Linked DNA regions of Macaca mulatta. The protein of the gene in region 1 interacts with the protein of each later gene in a biochemical or structural test. Links are inferred from orthologs where the notes say so. Each region holds a gene or a part of one and is shown on either strand. Other genes may lie near its edges. The genes, in order: PRKCA and MGMT.

Region 1 (9,265 bases):
CACCAGCACACCCGGCTCCTTTTTGTATTTTTAGTAGAAACGGGGTTTCACCATGTTGGCCAGACGGGTCTCAAACTCCCAACAGCATGTGATCCACCCACCTCAGCCTCCCAAAGTGTTGGGATTTGACGCCACTTCTCGATCGCGTCTTTCCCTTGTTTCTCTCTTCTGTCTCTAGCCCTTATTCTCATCTGCTTCCCCACTTCAATTTTCCTCTTATGTTCTCTTTCCTAGCTTCCCCTCTTCCAGCTTCCTTACAACTACTCCTATGAGTAATGCCCCCTAGCATTGTCTCTTAGACTGACGTTCTTGAAACCATACAGTTGCAACCCTGTTAGAACATTGCCACACTGTACTGTTTTCCCTGACATTTGCTTGCCACTCCGTAAGCTGTCAGTGCAGTTTCTGCGCATCTAAGGCTTGTCAATTTTGTTCTCCACCAGTAACTTGTATGAAGAGCAATTATGATCATTGCTATTATGCTCTCACCGTGTGCCTATCACTGCTCTAAGCACTTTACATGTATGAGCCTACATAATCCTGACTTGAAGGAGATATAATTTTCCAGATGAGGAAACTTAGGGACATAAAATAGCTTGTCCACAGCCACAGAGTGGCAGAGCCAGAATGCAAACGCAGGCAGCCTTGCCCCAGATCCTACACTCTGAGATGGGACCCCAAGTTAGTTGCTCATAATCCTGATTCAGGTGTCCTGGCATGCCATGAGTCACACATCATACAGGCTGTTCTCTGCTGTGATAAGAAATTGAAATTTGGACCCACTATCTGCTTCAATGACATTTGGAATTGATAACTCTTTTTATTTTCAACTTATTTTATTTGCAACTTAAATGATAGTATCTCAGTAGGAAGCTCACAGCTTTAAATCCCATCAAGATTTTAACTCATCACCATTCAGAAGAGATCCTACTTAAATGATTTTTTGTGTGTGTTGTCTGTCAGGAATATAAATTGAAGATATAAAAGCCAGCACCCGCAATAATTCTGCAACTGGCAGGAGGCAACGCAGGACCTCTTGGTGGCCTTGATAAAGGTCTTCTTTGGCTTGTCCAGGATGTGACCTTCTGCAGCCTCCATTGTTAGACATTCCAGGGCATTTTCTGCCTTTTAAAAAGCATCTGATTCTCATTCTGGTGTTTAATCAGAGAGAGCACGCTGGCCTCTTTCCATTCCTCATGGGAGAGCTCCATTTTTGTGCTCAATCTTTGGTGATACTCAGGGTTGATGTTTTAGTGGGCTAGACCTTCTGCATTGGATTAAAACCTTTCACATGAGCTTGATGAATTATCCAGTGACCAAGTCCCCTGGGGGCCTTCAGCCCTGTAGATTTCAGCATGATAAGAGTGGAAACGAGTCCATCATGCCTGGGGTGTAGTGAGCACTCACATCATGGATTTTTTTTTTTTTTTTTTCATTTTCCAAGCCCCTAACCATGTAAGGTGTTTTATAAGCATTCTTTTACTCGAGTCTCTCAACAATTCTATACTACTGGAATTATGCCCCTCTTCATTTTTCTAGATGAAGAAACATAGGCTCAGAGACAAAGCTTCCCAGTGCTCAGGGTTACATGGTGAAGGAGGCAGAGTTCGCACGTACACCTGCTGAGCCACAGGGACCATGCCTGTGTGTTTCATTTATGTGCTATCTGCTCCCCGAGATGAATGAGGTTAGATATTTTCTTAGGAGAAGAAATACTTGGAAGGCACAAATGGGGTACGAGAAACATATATTCAGCTTCTCTGTGGCTAGCAGGCCTGAGCCAGCCCCCTCCCCCTCTGTATTTGAATGTAGTCCCATCTGTTGCCCACCTGTGTAAGGCTGCCAGGTAAGGAGGATGTAAGGCTGTTGGCTGGCAGGAGGCGGCACACAGTAGGTCCACAGACTAGTAAAGGCAATGCCTGTCTGACTTCTGATCTTAGGGCTGTACCTCCCTCATTTGTGTCCAAAGACCCAACATCTTTAGGATTCTCCCCCCGCCCCCTCCCCATCTAACCGTGCCCACTGACAACTCCAGTGCCTTCTTCTAAAGTTCTTTTGTAATTCTTAATAATTAAACTATGCCGATAAACTATGCTAATTGCCTAGATCTGTGGTTCTGCAACATTTATGGACATCAGAATCACCCGGAGGCTTGATAAACACAGACCACTGGACCCCACCCCAGAGTTCTGATTCAGGAGATGATGCCAGTGCCGCCGGTCCAGGGACCACACTGTGGGAACCACTGGACCAGGGAGCCTGGTCCCAGTTATACGTGTGTTGATGGTGTCTGACCAGTTGCATATCTGGTAATTCAGCCTCACTGGGAAAGATGCCATGGGAAGATAATGAGGAAGGCATTTGGGGTAGGAGGCTCAGGCCTTTGTCCCTTCATCATAGCAGTAGATAATTACCTTTTACGTTGATGTGCAGTGGCGTTAGACAGCTTCTCACGGTTGTGAGCCTCTGCCAGCTCTTAAATCTCCGAGCCTGCTTTCTTCTGTGGACGAAATGGCGTTTCCTTCTAATTATTTTTGATTCCCATATCAGGTTTCTCAAGCTAGGATTGCATTGGAAGTGCCTGGAGGTCTTGTTAAAGTGAGGATTCTGAGTTATTAAGTCTGAGGTGGGACCCAAGGTTCTACATGTCTAATGAGCTCCCAGGTGATGTAGATGTCGCTGGTCCATGGATCAGCACCGGGCAGCAATTCTGAGTTACAGCTGTATACAGCAATGGTGCTTGCCCCTGCTGCCCAGTAGAATCACCCAAGGAGCTTTTAAAAACAAATATTTGAGCCACATTCCTTGGAGATTCTAGTTTAATTCTGGGGATTAGAATTTTTAACTCCCCCATTCCCCAACTCCCTTGTGATTCCAATGTACAGTCAGAGTTGGAAGCCATTGGCCTTTACCCACAAAAAGGGATAACACCTTCTGGGAGGTCAGGTGCATGTGCGGCACCATGGACCAGGTCGGGCTGGTTGCCTCCATGTTGGGAGGGTGCGCCATTACTCCTGGGGTGCTGCAGAGGTCACCTGGGAATCTTGTTAAATAATGGATTCTGCTTCGGCAGGTTTGGAGTGGGACCTGGATCTCTGCATTTCTAATAGATATCTGAGTGTTGCTGATGCTGCCAGTCCAGGCTGGTGCTGAGTCCCAAGACCCGCCCACAAGGGCCCACACGATGCCTGTTATCTCTGCCGGTGGTGGCAGTGGGTAGCTTTTCTCATGACGAGCGTTAGAGGCGTTTGGCTTCCCACCATCTCTCTCCTTAAATGCCATCCTGACTTCTCTTTTACTCAGCTTGGTATTGGCACAGGACACTGGGCAATATAGGTCCATTCTCTTTTTGTAATGTTTTCTTCCTTCTCTCTTCACAGTACGAGATGCAAAAAATCTAATCCCTATGGATCCAAACGGGCTTTCAGATCCTTATGTGAAGCTGAAACTTATTCCTGATCCCAAGAATGAAAGCAAACAAAAAACCAAAACCATCCGCTCCACACTAAATCCCCAGTGGAATGAGTCCTTTACATTGTAAGTGGTCTCTCCTTGATCAAATCTCGTTCCTATACACCATGCAGTTGCCCACCTCATTGTTTGAGGTAATGAAGTAGGTTCATTATAAACGTCTTTAAACGTGTCTTCAGTCCTAAGACCTCCTCAGGCTGCCATTAGGGAGGTAGCTATTAGCACCTGTTTGATAGATAGTAATTTGATTTACCAAGAGTTGCATAATTCCGGCCTCAAATTATTATCATTATCTAACCTGGTTAAACAATTCTGTGTAAGGTATTAAAGATGATGTAAAAATGTATCCGGTGTGTCCACCTCTCGATAGACTTAGGTTCTTTTGAGAGTTAGGGGAGGGCATAAGACAAGAATTTAAATAATTTTTAGACCACAGAATGAGTGAGTAATATAGGAAGTGTTATTGCCACTGAAACGGCAAGATCATTCTTGCCTTCAAAGAGAGAAGACCTCCTGGAAAAGAAAGGTGACACTTAAAGCCAGCCTGGGAGGGTTGCTAGGATTTCAGAGGTAGAGATGGTAGAAGGGGAAGAAGGAAGGAGGGAATAAATAAGTCAGGAAGACTGAGTGCAGCTGAGCAAAAGCAGGAGGTCCCCTTTGTAGACCAGTATACAGGAAGCAGCTTTTCTGTGGACAACCAGAAAGGTAGCTATCTATTCTAGAGGGACCAGCAAGCTCTGCTCTGTAAAGGATCAGATAGTATATATTTTAGGCCTTGTGGGTCATATAGCCTCTGTTGCACCTGTACAACTTTCTAGTGCCAAAGCAGCCATAGGCAATATGTAAACAAATAACCATGGCTGGGTTCTAATAAAACTTTATTTATAAAAATAGACGGTGGGCTAGATTTGGCCCATGGGTCATAGTTTGTTAACTCCTCCTGTAGCGCTTTGGTTGCCAGCATAAGGGGTTGGTATTTTACTGGACCAGGAAGAGAATCAAATATACTATTTCTGTATCTCAGGCTCAAATCATGTACAGGTGGTATCTCCCAAGAAACCATGATCAAAATAACCTAGTGTTTGCATGTGTGTGTGTCTTGTAGCAAACTGAAACCTTCAGACAAAGACCGACGACTGTCTGTAGAAATCTGGGACTGGGATCGAACAACAAGGAATGACTTCATGGGATCCCTTTCCTTTGGGGTTTCGGAACTAATGAAGATGCCAGCCAGTGGATGGTATGGAAGCTGCTGAGGTTGAATATGTCTCAAAGCATCAGACCATTTAGACAGTTAGGTTTCAGTCTCTAAAATGTCAGTTGAGACCGGACATGGTGCCTCATGCCTATAATCCCAGCACTTCAAGAGGCCAAGGCAGGTGGATTGCTTGAGCCCTGAAGTTTGAGACCAGCCTGGGCAATATGGAGAAACCCCATCTCTACAAAAAATACAAAAATTAGCCGGGCGTGGTGGTATAACCTGTAGTCCCAGCTACTCAGGAGGCTGAGGCTTGAGGATCGCTTGAGCCCAGGAGGTTGAGGCTGCCGTGAGCCGTGATTCACCACTGCCCTCCAGCCTGGGCAACAGAGCTACCCTGTCTCAAAAATATAAAAATTTAAAAAAGTCAAATGTCTACTTCTCTACCTGTAGCCTCTCCATAGGATGCGTTTCACAAAACAGCTTGACTAGAGGTTCAGGAGAAGGCTTGCTAAACTTGCGGTGGTAACTCTCTTTCTCCTGTCTTTGAAAGGTACAAGTTGCTTAACCAAGAAGAAGGTGAGTACTACAATGTACCCATTCCAGAAGGGGACGAAGAAGGAAACATGGAACTCAGGCAGAAATTCGAGGTGAGGATAACAAAATGCCTGGAAACACCTTTCCTATAGAAAGCCTGACTTCAGGAACAGCCGAGATAGTGTGGTCACATTTTCGAAAGGCAAAAAAGTAATCTAAATGTTAATGATCTTTTTCTTTATTTAAAAACATAAATGTTGTTCACTCCCTTTCCTTGGCAAGCTGTTGACTTTTTATGACTCTTATCACTTAGAAAATGGAAACTGGAAATATCCCAGAAATGAAAGCATGGTTGATTTTTGCATAAGAGATCGATTTGCACATCACTGGGGAGAGAAGCAGCCTCTGAGGGGCAGGATTGTTCTTACAAGGGAGGACTTGTGCTCTTCTAAAAAGGAGGAAGTCATTTTGGCCTTTCCTTGGGAGCTCATTTGTGTGTAATCAGGCTATCATCTGAGACTTTTTTTTTCCCCCTGCAGAAAGTACAAGGTTCCTAATTTTGTTCTGAAAGACCAGCTTAAACAAATATGCCTTTGTGTGTGATCCTTTTTTATCTATATTCCAAGTGTTCAGCAAAGGCCACCTCCCTCTCTTCTTCCTCTTGGCATTTGTGTTTGCCTCTGTCCCGGATTCCCTGGTCTTTTTTCTTCTCCTCCTCTGCTGCTTACTTCTCTTTTTCTTCTCCTCTCTCTCCCTTCTCCTCTTCCTTTACCAGACATCTCCGCTTTTAGTAAACAGTTCTTTTCTCTAAGCACCTTCCTTATGTTTTAAAGTCACAACTTCTAATATTTTTCTGCTTCTCTCATCACGCTTCATTTTGGCTGTTCGAGGGACTCGTAGAGTAGCCTTTTCAGTCTGTGTAACAGGTTAATTCCTTTGTGAATCTTTCTCTTCTTCAGACTCATTAGAATTCCCCAGAATTTCCCCACTCTAGAGCAATACACGTGCACACGCACACATGTGTATAGGTGCTGAACTGTTACTGAAATGTTGACACTAAAGGGATGCTATTGCTCCTGTTTTCCTTCTTCTGTTGTTCTCTAAGAAACAGACAGATCTGGGGGGTAGGGAAGAGTGGTCTTGGGAGGATAATAAACCTCCTTCATGCACCCTGCAAAAGAAACATATAGGTCTTATCCAGAGAGAATGAATCCCAAAGGATGTAAAACATGCAGTTGTTCAAATTACTTTGTTAAACTGATGTTTGGTTAAAGTCTATGTTGGTGGCAAATACTAAATGGCAGGGGCTCTGGTTAGATGTCCTTGGGAGCACGAACGAGTGAAATGATTCACAGGTGATAAATGGCAGTGAATAGCAGGCCTCAGGATTGAGGCAGTAGGGAGTGGTGGAGACTGGGGTAAGCTGGTAAGCTTGAGCCCTGTCTGCAGGTGGCAGCTACTGCTACCCTGCCCGACTTGATGTTTCTCACACACGAGTCCAGGCCTGTGTTGCCAGATCTTCCTTCTTCAAGAGAAGACAGAAATCCAGGTTTTTATGTGATACATTCTGATTTATCTTAATGTTGGCAGAGTTCTAATGTTAAAACTTAGAACCAGGCCAGGTGCGGTGTCTCACTCCTGTAATCCCAGTACTTTGGGAGGTTGAGGCAGGCAGATCACTTGAGGTCAGGAGTTCAAGACTGGCCAACATGTCGAAACCCTATCTCTACTAAAAATACAAAAATTAGCTGGGTTTGGTGGCACGCGCTTGTACTCCCAGCTACTCCAGAGGCTGAGGCATGAGAATTGCTTAAACCTGGGAGGCGGAAGTTGCAGTGAGCCGAGTTCATGCCACTGCACTCCAGCCTGGGCAACAGAGCAAGACTCTGTCTCAAAAAAAAAAAAAAAAAAAAAAAAAATTTTAGAACTGTCCAGATATGGTAGCTCACACCTATAGTCCCAGCACTTTGGGAGGCCAAGGCAGGCAGGTTGCTTAAGCTCACAAGTTTGAAACCAGCCTGGGCAACGTGGCGAAACCCAGCCTCTACGAAAAATGCAAACACTAGCAGGGTGTGGTGGCATGCGCCCGTAATCCCAACTACTCGGTGGCTGAGGCACGAGAATCACTCGAACTCGGGAGGCAGAAGTTGCAGTGAGCCAAGATCACACCACTGTACTCCAGCCTGGGCAACAGAGTGAGACCCTGACTCAAGAAAACAAACAAAATCTTAGAACTCTGTGTAGGTCAAATGTGCATCTATTGCTTTAGACACCAGTAGGATCCAACCAGTCAGAACCAGCTGGCAGTCTCTGCTCTTCAAAAATAGAGGAGAGAAAAAATAATTTTAAAAAATTATTTGTATAGTTGTATATATTAGAATATGTATAAATATAAATATGTGTGTGTATCTGTGTATCTACTATTTGTCTATCGATAGAAAAGAATGAGATTCTTTTCAAAGAGGCCTTATGATATTTAGAGGAATTCAAGTACAAAGATGAAAGTCAGGGTTTTGGGGCAGGTTCAAATGACTATGCCAGGCATAGCTCTTTTTCAATTTGTATTTCTTCCCTTGCTTCATTATCTGTTTCCACCCCTACCCTGCAGCTGAAGATGCAGACCCGGGGTACTAGAGAGGACCACCTTCTTGAGCCCCATCCCTGATGTCACACCACCTCTGTGACGGATGGATCCTTCTAGAGAGAGTTTCAGGACTGAGTGCCAGCATTCCTCAGCTGTCTCAGGCAGGGGAGGAACCTGAGGAGCCAGAAAGAACCTTCCTTACTGAACGTTATGCCGTGGTGTTGATCACGAACAGTCACTGGGTCAGGGGCTGCTGGCGCAGAAAGAATGCATTCGAGGGAGGAACAGCACGGGCGTTCCCCATGGGGTTCCTCACAGTAATGTCTGAGACTTAGCTTTGCTGCTGGAGAAATATTGACCCACTCTTTGTGCTTCATTGTCGTGGCTTCCTGGTGAGTAAACCTCCTGTTTTTCTGGGCAGTGAGTTCAGCTTTTTATAAAGGTCAGAGTTCCAAACAAACAAAAACAAAATACAGGCCAGAGGCCCTGAGCAAACGCGAAGCATTTCTCTTGGGAGGCTGGTCAGAGGCCCCGGGTGTGTTGCTGGTCACTATTCCTCCTCCTGAGAGGGCTGTGGACTTGGCAGGAGCGCCAGCCCGAGACTGTGCAGCATCCTCGGGAGAGGTGGCGTCAGCAGAGTTGCATGGGGTGGAGGCTCTGCTCTTCAGCCTACTGAGGGCTATGCCTGGAGCATCTACATGAACTGCATTCTAGCCTTTGCTTTAAATACCTTTCAGCTTATAGTTCCTAGATTTTACTCAAATTACATTAGCTCATTTGCTTAGAGCATTTACAAAAAAAACACAACTGCGAGAGACTGGGCAGAAAGCCACTAGAGGATGGCATCAAAAAGATGCTGAGAATTTTATGACAGCTGCCATGCTTCATTTTAAAAATGCATATTCAGATCTGATTTTAGGCAGGGGTTCAATCACATAATGGTGTTTTGTTGAGGTCTATAAATGTGAGAGTTGCAAGACTTCCCCAGTGCCAAGTTACTGGGAAGGGATGCACCAGGGCAGAAAGGCTGGCATCCACATTTGAGCAGTTCTGGGTGGCAGCCAGGCTTTGCAAACAGGGTGCCAGTTGGCATCAGGTCCAATTTGAAGCACCTCTTTGAGCCCCCACCCCGTTTCCTCCTTCTCAGTCTGTAGCGTGAGTGCTTCTCAGTGTCTCCAGACTCCCCTCTCTGGGCCCTTTCTCGCCAAATAACTGCCTTTCTAACTTGCTTTCCATCACATTAGTCTTTTCTTCCCTACCCACTCTTTCATAGATATTTTGCCACCCTCCAGTAACAGTTTGATTCAGCTGAGTAAGATATTTTTGTTAAGTTCAATGATGAATCTGTATTGGTTGAAACACACATGAGGGTTCGTCCTGCTGGGAACAGGCATCACTCAGTGGCATCACACAGTGTCCAGTCTGTCCTTATCTTTCCATGTCCAGCTCTGTTTTCTAAAAAGGGTTCCCTCCAT
Region 2 (9,746 bases), on another chromosome or scaffold:
TTCCCAAAGGTAGGGTAGTAAGGATTAAGGTTGACTACTGAAGACAGCTTTGTTGTAAATGGTCTCTAATGTCACAAAAGTAGCTTGGGAAGACAGGCTTATTAAACAAATTTCTTGGGTTGCAAATCATTAGAAGCAATCGCATGTCATGTTCATTTGCTTAACCCAAAAGGTATCTATTTGGATGTTTAAAGAAACTATGCAAATTAACATTGTTCCCAGTGCCCACAAGAAAGCTGGCTGATCTTAAAGGAAATCCAGGGAGCTCCTTGAAGAAGTCAGAATGGAGTTGAGCATACCCTTTTGCGGTTTTCCCACCTCTTTTGTAAAACGTTCTTCATAGGAATCTGTGTCTGGAGAAAAAGGGGTTGTGATTTGTTAATCCGAAGATGGGAGACCTCAAAGGAATCTCACCCAACTAGTCCTGCGCTGTCATCCTATCAACAGAGAAGTCAGGGGTTGCTCAGTGAGGGGTACGGCTGGCACCACATCTGAGCCTCCCTGTCCTGTGTTCCTTACTCTTCAGTGGACCCGGTGACCTCCTCGCTTTGGAGCCATCCTGTGTTCCTTTAACAGTAGGATGAATACGCAGGCGATGATGAGATTGTAATGGGACAAGGGGGAGAGGCGTGGGGGAGCTCTTGATGAAAACGGTTTTTGAAATTACCATGATGAAGGGAGGAGCTTGCACCAGCAAGTGTAGGGAGTGTGGGTTTGAGTTCTGCTCATCGGACAGCGTAAGCGGTCACATCCTTGAATCCTGGTCTTTTGCAGGCCAGTCATTGGTCAGGTGGTGGCCTTTTCCCTCTTGCCCCTCTGCGCTGAGACCCACATTCGGCTCCTGATCTTGGAGCCCTGACACAGTCCTTACCACTGAAGTAGCTGTGGCCCTTCATATAGTCCTTCCTACCACACCAGCAACGGGACTGAGTCCTGTCAGTGGAGCCAGGGCCAGGTCCACACGTCTCCCCAGGAAGCCAGCACTTTCTCTCGTGGACCACCTCCCCATTCCCACAGGGCCCTCCTAAAGGGCCTTTGGATGACCACATTGGCCTTTCTTTCCTAGGGTGGGGAATGAGAGATACTAAGACGGGCCAGTCTCTTTTTCTTAAGAGTTTAGGTATTCGTCTGAAAATATTATTCAGATAAACGTATGAGTCCTGTGTTAACTGCAAAACTACTTAACAGCACACTTGTTAGAATACTGGTCGGCACTCTGATTCCATTTCGGCATTGTTTTTCCTTCGGTTCTATTGGGATCCTGGTTCTAACTGGGTCCTGGTAGTAACAGGCTGTAAGCGGCCCGGTGTATAGCATCATTTCTCAGTAGTATGGTGTGGTGCTGGTGGTTTATTTTCCCTATGCACACATGGCCTAATATGGAAGGATAGTTTGTATACATGCACGGTACATGATCATAAGACTCCTTTACAGAGTATGAAACTGAGGATTAGAGAAGTCAGATGAGTTTCCCAAAGTCTTACAGAAGGCTGATAGAAAAAACCAGAGCCAAGGCCAAACATGTTTCATCTCTCCTTCCACATTAGTTGAAATGTGAATAGCTGCTTGGAACACAGTATTAAGAAGGATTCCGAGGCTGTGTCCAGGCTCAGTGGGGAAAAAGTGCCCTGATTTGACCATTATACTGTGTACTCAGGGCCTAGTTTATTTTCCACAAGCAGCCATTTAAAACATGTCTCATCCAAGGCACGGTCCAGGGTGAGGAACCTCAGAGGATCAATGATGCAGCCTGTATTGTCACCGGGGCTCATCCCAAAGCAAATCCTGCTGAAGTTCTCCTCTGAACAACCCTTATCACTCATGCTAACATGTTGGATCCTGCAAGTCACAAATACGAAGGTATGAGCATTGGCCAAATCCCAGCTGGGAAGCTACACTGGGAAGGCGAAGACCCCTTTCCATCAAGATAACAGAACCTAGAAGGCCCATAGCATGGTGCCTTAGAGCATGTGGGCATCGGATGGGATCCTTGAAACTGCCAAGGGGTGTGTGACCTCTCCGAAGCCTCCAGGGATGATACTACTCCCTGGGGTGGTTATGCCAACCATGTTAGAGACAATGGTTTCCGTACCCATTGCCTGGGGCTGCCATAATAAAGTGCCACACACTGAGTGGCTTTAAACAACAGAAACCTATTGTCTCACACTTCCGGAAGTTTGAATCCAAGGTGTGTTAGGACCCTGCTCCCTCCGAAGGCTCCAGGGAAGAGTCTGTCCTCTTTGGCTTCTGGCGGCTTGCAGGTGCAGCCCTCCACTCCTCCTCCCCACGCGGCCTTCTGCCTATAAGGACACGAGTCCTACTGGATGAGGGGCCCACTAATTGATGGCTTCATTTTAACTTGTTACCTCTGTAAAGTCCCCATATCCAAGTATGGTCACACTGTGAGGTACTGGGAGTTAGGACTCCAACATAGCTTTTCTGGTGGACACAATTCAGCTCCTAATAATGTCCACACAACCCCAAGCAGGGCCTGGCACCCTGTGCGCTTTCTGCAGAGCGACTGAGTCAGGCCCTGGCCGTGTCTAGGCCATCGGTGACTACAGCGCCTGGACGGGACCGCCCACCACAGGCCCTGGAGGCTGCCCCACGGCCCCCTGACAGGGTCTCTGCTGGTCTGAGGGTCCCTGACCCGGGAAGCGGCCTCAGGAGGGGAAAGACTCGCGCTCCGGGCTCAGTGTAGCCGCCCCGAGCAGGACTGGGATTCTCACTAAGCGGGCGCCGTCCTACGACCCCCGCGCGCCTTCAGGACCACTCGGGCACGTGGCAGGTCGCTTGCACGCCCGCGGACTATCCCTGTGACAGGAAAAGGTATGGGCTATTTGGCAAACTAAGGCACAGAACCTGAGGCGGAAGCTGGGAAGACGCTGCCTGGTTTGTACCGGCCAAAGGGCCGGGGTGTCAGGCGCACAGAGTAGCTAGCTCTGCTGCAGGACCCGGGCCCGCGGGTCGGCACCAGCGAGGCTGCGCAGAGTGGCTCAGGTCCGGCGCCGCCGCACTGGACATGCGCCGACCCGGTCGGGCGGGAACACCCCGCCCCGCCCCGGCCCCGCCCCCGCGCGCCCCGGCCCCGCCCCCGCGCGCTCTCTTGCTTTTCTCAGGTCCTCGGCTCCGCCCCGCTCTAGATCCCGCCCCATGCCGCCAGCCCCGCGCCCCCTCGGCCCCGCCCCCGCGCCCCGGATATGCTGGGACGGCCCGCGCCACTAGAACGCTTTGCGTGCCGGCGCCCGCAGGTCCTCGCGGTCCGCACCGTTTGCGACTTGGTGAGTGTCTGGGTCGCCTCGCTCCCGGCAGAGTTGCGGGGCTCTGCCTCGGGACGGCGGCAGTCTCGAGTGGTCCTGCAGGCGCCCTCACTCGGGTCTGGGGCCGCCCTGACAGCCACCTACCCCGGGCGAACTCCAGGTGCGCCCCAAGTGCCTCCAAAGTGTTGCCCAGCCTTCCCCCGGGCCTAGGGTTCCTGGACCAAGCTGCGCTGCAGTGACTGTGGCCTGGCGTGTGGCGGGGTTCGTGGCAGCCCCTGCCTTACCTCCGGGTGCCGGCTCCAGGCCCGGGCCCCGGGTTCTTCCTGCCCCTCCATGCTGCCAGCTTTCCCTCCGCCAGCTGCTCCGGGAAGCTTCCAGAAGCCCCTGCGCGGGCCTTGGCTTGCAGCAAGCCTTTAGCATACTTGGGCAGAGTCCCATATTTCCTTCCTGCTGGAGGCCAAGTTCTAGGGGCCTCCTCCTAACCATGGCTGGTGTTTGTGTACCTCACACCCTAATTGTATTCATCAATACCTGGGAGTAAGCAAGGCTCGCTGGAGAGCCACACACACTGGGCGCCGTAATTCCCACATTGGTGACAACACCGCAGAGGAGTTCTGAACTATGTATTTCGCACTCCTGGGTTCATCATCTCCTGAAATCTCAGGGTGGTGTTTGCTCTCAGTTGCCTCAGCTGGGTAGCTGGCTTTCTATCCTGGAAAGCAGACTTTGTACATGTGTGTGCAACCTTTGCCTGCTGGGACCATCATCAGACTGAGGGAAGCGGCTTGGTCCGGAGAGGGGTCACCACAGCTGTTCTCAGTAGAATATTAAGCAGAGAGAGTTAAGCACAGAGAGCTGAGAATTAGACTGGTTATTTACATAGACATCCAAATATAAACCTATAGAGTATCTGTGAAGGCAGACTCTCCCGTCATCTGCCCCATCCCTGGGCAGGTGACTAGGAGATGGTTTTGTTATTTTCAGGGCCCACTCAGTGGCTAAAACACTCTGAGAGATGAACAGATTTAAAAAAAACGAAAGCTTAGCACACTTGGTGGGTGGGGCTGTGAAAACTTTGAAGGAAACCGCGTCAAGAGCCTGGCTGATTGTTAACAACACATTAACTCAGAGGGCCAGGATACTTGCTGGGACCCAGAGCGTGCCTGCAAGTAGCAGAGGAGAGCTGGCCTTACTCTGCCGCCTGTCGTATCTGTCTTCCTGGGCCCTCCCTCTCCTGTTAGAATTTGAATAGTGGGGTGGTATCTGCCACAGTCAGGGGCCTGGATGAAGTAGGCCTCCAGTACAGAGCTATACTCAGGTACTTTTCAATGTATATATTTTAATAATAATAAAAAATATCTGGGCCAGGCACGGTGGCTCACGCCTGTAATCCCAGCACTTTGGGAGCCTGTGGTGGGTGGATCACCCGAGGTCGGAAGTTGGAGACCAGCCTGACCAACATGGTGAAACCCCGTTTCTACTAAAAATCCAAAAATTATCCAGGTGTGGTGGTGCGTGCCTGTAATCCCAGCTACTTGGGAGGCTGAGGCAGGAGAATTTCTTGAACCTGGGAGGTGGAGGTTGCAGTGAGCTGAGATTGCGCCATTGCACTCCAGCCTGGGCAACGAGAGTGAAACTCTGTCCCAAAGGAAAAAAAAATCTGTATCACAATAACGATTTAACTAATAGTATTAGGCACTACTTTAAAAAGGCTTTGCTGTTAGTAAGGTTGAAAGAAATAGAGCCCTAGGTAACATTGGGTAGCACTTTGTTCAGCTGCTCAGATTCTTGAAACTTGTTGAGGTCTTACGTTGATATCACCTGGGGCTTACCTTTCATTGTTTGGGTTTCCTTCCCAGGTGTCTCAATCAGGGCCTCCTCTCTTCTTTTGCAGGAAGAAGGGGGCAGGAAGGCCTGAAAAAGAACTTGCCTTCCCCATTGCCCCCTTAGAGTTTGTTCCTCTCCAGTCTTCTTCCTACCCTTTCTTAGGACACCAAAGCCCTGACTCTTCTGGTATTTTATAATAAAATAAACTTACTAAATTGTCCTGTTTTGCAGAGGACATACGTTTAGGAGCCAGTGACTCAAACCTTCCGGTTGGTTTTTTTTTTTTTTTTGGTGTTAATACCCTTTTCAATTTATAGTATATTCTTTTTGATAGAAAGAAAATGAAGGCAAAACTGAATTTTCTGCATTATCTTTTCCTTTAGCATTATTCTTTGATTGTTTTTGCGCTTCATTCTGACCCCCTTCCCCAATATAAAGTTCCTTGTTCAGATCCACTTGCCGTGAGGTTTTTGACTTCCCTTTGGGACTCTAGTTCCTCCAGGGGACACATTGAACCTCCCAGACCCTGAAGGGCCCTGTACTCATTTGGCTCTTGGGCTGCTGCTACAGTCCTTCCTGACTCTCTGTTTCCTGGGACAGGTAGCTTTTGATCCAGCTACTTTCTGGGCTCGGGTCTTACCACAGAATATTATTTTATTACTTTTAGAGACAAGGGCTTGCTCTGTCGCCCAGGCTGGAGTGCATAGCTCACTGCAGCCTCAAACTCCTGGGCTCAAGTGAACCTCCTGCTTTGACCTCCTGAGTAGCGGGGACTACAGGTGTGTGCCACCATGCCTGGCTAATATTTTTTTTAGAGGCAGGGTCTCCCTATATTGCCTAGGGTGGTCTCGAACTCCTGGACTCAAGTGATCTTCCCTCCTAGACCTCCCAAAGTGCTGGGATTACAGGCATGAGCCACCGTGTCTGGCCCTGCAGGATATTATTTAAACCAGACCTGAAGGATTTAAAGTCAGAGACACATAAACCATAACCTGACCGTGGGGTGGTATGGTCTTTATATAGACGCTCATGATGTACAAGCCAGCCCTACGCCCCACTCTTGGTTTGAAGTGAAAGGGTTTATCTGGGAGGGAGGAGGTTTGAGCTGTCCAGGAGGGCCGTTGGTTGGCATGAGGAGTTTGTGAACCTATGCTGTTAGCTCTGCAGGCCTGTCTTGGGCAGAGCTAAGTAGAAGTTGGAGACCTTGTGTTGTGGACCAAATGTTGCAAGATGTATGTTCTGTGGCTTTTCATTAACTGCTGCATGTCTGCTGGTTGGTGGAAATAGTCTGTTTTTTTTTTTTGACTTAAAAAAATTGACAGTACAGCTTATATAGGAGGGCTGCGTGGTTTGGGGAAAACTAATTAATGAATATAGTATGGAATGTAATGAATGACTTCCTCCTTCATAGAGCTATTAAAGTGATTTACGAAAAGGAAGAAATCATTTTTTTGATTTTGTTGATCTTTGAAGTATTAGAGTGGCTTTGGCTGGTGTGGTTCACCTGTAAAGGGATCAAACACTGAGACCTGCCAAGGTGCTGGGTCCCGGCAGCGAAGCCAGTTGGTGGCAGCCTGCACGCCCGAAGCTCCTCCAGCTAAATAACTGAATAGGCCGCCCTGGGGACTGCCCATGCAGATGCACGGAAGGATGAAACTTGGTTTTGACCCCACAAGTTGTTTTCAGTTGAATCAGTGGCTTAACAGCAGAGCCGGGTTCTCCAAGGAGGCCTCATGTCCCCTTCACCCCCCACCGGAGGTAGCTGTTCTAAAACCAGTAAAAAATTCTACAAAAACATTTTCTTATGGTTGTTAAATTGGTTATAGTGTGCGTAACCACGAAAGGAATGGTGAGAGCGCGATAAATGGCTGGTGTGTTCACTCTCCTGCTCCTAAAAGTTTCTTGGTAGAGTAATTCTCTACCCGTGATGCTTGTGAAGTGGGCAAAGTCTCCCACCCAGCCCTGTCGCCCATTCCCAGAAGCCTGAGCTGGGGGACACCGAATGGATAGTCCACCAGCGGCGTGGCGTGTAAAAGCAGGCACTTGTTAAATCTATTTGTTTTTATTATAGGCATCGTTCTGCCAGTCACAGTGATGTGTTTATGGACAATTTTCTGCAAGCACAGCGCGGGTGGCAGTTTTTACCGACAAATTGAGTCATATGCATAGAGGTTTAGAAAACTTTTACCCTATTGACAGATCAGGCAATTCTGGCACAGGATGTTCAGAGATATTTAGGTGGGTAAAGAGAGTGAATGAATCTCAGGGCAGAGAAGGAGATGGGGCATTGTATGTTGAAATGTAATAATTGCTAGTTATTTATCATTTGTTTTTAAACTTTTAGCTACATTTTACTCTCCAACCAAGAGGACTCGGGTGGGCAGCCAGGGATGTCATGTTCAGGCGTCTCTCCTGCTTGTGTGGGGTAAGAGCCACCACCGGAATGCGATTCCGGCAAGGCCTGACGAGTCACAGCCCCTCGAACCTGTTGCTCTCCGTAAAGTGGGGTCTTCACAAGCAACAGCGGCAGAGTGTTTCTCTGAGGGTGGCCTGGGCCCTCTGCATCAGAATTACTGTGGGTGCTGGCTAGAGAGGTCTCTCGATTACAGGGCCCCATGGCAGACCTACAGGATCAGAACCTAGGGATGCCAGGGGATTCTGGCAGACCCTAATGCTTGAGCACCTCTAGGGAAGTCCTTAGGATCCTCTGGGAAGTAGCACTGTCCAGCCCAGGCAAGCTCCAAGTCCCCGTTCCAGAAGGATCCATTGGCAGTTGGCATTGCTGCAGGTTGTCTGTGCATATGGGTCAGAGTAAGGTTTTGTAACTCCTGAGAGATGTGAATCTCTTCAGATTGCAAACCCAACATGTTATCATAGCATTCGAATTTTCAGTTTTGTGGTTATGACCAGGTGCAGATGTTACCAAAACTTTAGCGTTAGTTTTAGCGTTAGTTTTACAAACAAATGTGAAGAATGGACAGCCATATCATATTTCACCCCCCCTTTCCTTTTGAGAGGGTTGTCTTGTTTTTATCCCCTGCTGGGTCAAAGCATTTTCCTGGTCTCAGGTGAGGGTTAACTTTCAGAGGCACAGCTGAATACATTTTGTGGAACAGAATTGAGCTTTTCTACAGAAAGTGCCAGAACCGTGTGTGGGAGTGATGCTCTTTCCTAGCTGGGTCACCCTGGGAAACTCTTAGCCCTCCAGGCACCTCCTCATCTATTGGGTGGGGACGATCATGCTTATTCTGTCTACCTGGGTAGTATAAGCACACGAGACAATAAATCCTTATTTTTTTTTAAGTAAAATTTTACCCACTACATAGGTAGAAATTTTAATTTGGAGCTGAGTCTCATGGAAGGATGAAACGAGAAGACGGTGAAGAACCATTTCGAGCCCTTGTTTTCCCCGAGTCCAGTCCGAATCTTTATTTTGCAGATCTGCACGCACCCAAGCCCTCACCGGGGGCGTGTGCATGGCAGTCAGGAGCGCACCTTCTGGGAACAGACTGGCTTCCATTTGGACCTGGCTTCACGAGTTATAATCCTGTGCCCTTGAGCAGAGTTACTTAACCTTCCGAGGCCAGGTTTCTCCAAAAGTAGGGCCAGGGACAGTTCCCATCAGAAGGAGGCCTGGCCCTGCGGAGGCCTGAATGAAGGCGGCTGGTGTTTGTGGATACAGAGTGGCTCTGGTTTTGGTGGAGGCAGGACTGGAGGTCGGGGGTCACTTGGCCACATTTGCCACCTCGGTGTGTCTGAGGTTCCAGGTCGCAGAGCATGTCTGTGTGCAGGATAAGGTAGTTCCCTATTCATTTGCTAGGTCTCTGAAATCCTTTTATCTGTAAAGAGGCTACTGGCTCTGCCACCTGTTTCTGTCTTTTCACAGTAGACATTATCAAGGTGGCAGCGTTCTGAAGGTTCAGGTGTGCCATGTCAGCCTAGAGTGGGCAGGTGGGCTTCGTGTGTGCTCCTAGGGGCACTTGGCAGTTGCTGACAGCCCGAGACACTGTGTGGGAACCTTGACATTATTCGTCTGTTAAATTGAAAGAACTTCCCAAAGGACCAACACAGGATCCGACACGATGGCAGTGGCCAGGAACCAGCAGTGACACCAGCATGTGACAGTGTTTTCCCATGTGTGACGGCCGTTTAGACCACAGCAGTGAGGGGTAACGCCGGTCCGCTGGGTAAGCTTGGTCAAAAATGGGAAGTCTGCAGCATTTCGTGTGTTTGTGGAAGTGGGCCTTATTTTTATTTGGGGTGTCTCTTTAATCTCCTGTCGTAGTTCAGCTCACCCTGGTGGTGGTTCTGGGCGTGCTGCGCTTGTTGCCTTGTACAGACCAACTTAGGAAATGCTCACCGTCACCCCAGGAAGGAGAAGGCGCTGGGAGTGTCTTTGTGTTGCATATGAGGAACCCAGGACTCGGAGAGTTTGAGTGACTTGCACAGGCCTCCTGGGGTAGAGGTGGAGTTTTGTTTTCAACCCAGATTTATCTGATAACCAGGCACAGGCTCACAACCGCTTGTGCCAGGCTGTCTTTGCAACGATGAACCTGAGAAACTATTAGAAGTCCTTTAAGGGGCAAGACAGGGCATAACAGACACATACCTGTTGATGTAGCTAAAGTTTTCTGAACATCAGTGTGACCCCAAGTGTTG

What was found.
Region 2: of the proteins of PRKCA (region 1) and MGMT, one has a biochemical effect on the other in vitro, tested with the Homo sapiens proteins (2 studies listed by BioGRID). The link is inferred for Macaca mulatta from reciprocal best matches to the Homo sapiens genes PRKCA and MGMT.

What each region holds. Positions count from the first base shown.
Region 1 is NC_133421.1:76,436,283-76,445,547, forward strand, and holds part of PRKCA (protein kinase C alpha type), read left to right. Parts: intron 1-3,380; coding exon 3,381-3,537; intron 3,538-4,576; coding exon 4,577-4,711; intron 4,712-5,222; coding exon 5,223-5,319; intron 5,320-9,265. UniProt on the Homo sapiens protein: Calcium-activated, phospholipid- and diacylglycerol (DAG)-dependent serine/threonine-protein kinase that is involved in positive and negative regulation of cell proliferation, apoptosis, differentiation, migration and adhesion, tumorigenesis, cardiac hypertrophy, angiogenesis, platelet function and inflammation, by directly phosphorylating targets such as RAF1, BCL2, CSPG4, TNNT2/CTNT, or activating signaling cascade involving MAPK1/3 (ERK1/2) and RAP1GAP.
Region 2 is NC_133414.1:141,516,549-141,526,294, forward strand, and holds the start of MGMT (methylated-DNA--protein-cysteine methyltransferase), read left to right. Parts: upstream 1-3,191; 5' UTR 3,192-3,200; coding exon of another isoform or gene 3,201-3,281; intron 3,282-3,544; exon of another isoform or gene 3,545-3,631; intron 3,632-9,746. UniProt on the Homo sapiens protein: Involved in the cellular defense against the biological effects of O6-methylguanine (O6-MeG) and O4-methylthymine (O4-MeT) in DNA. Repairs the methylated nucleobase in DNA by stoichiometrically transferring the methyl group to a cysteine residue in the enzyme.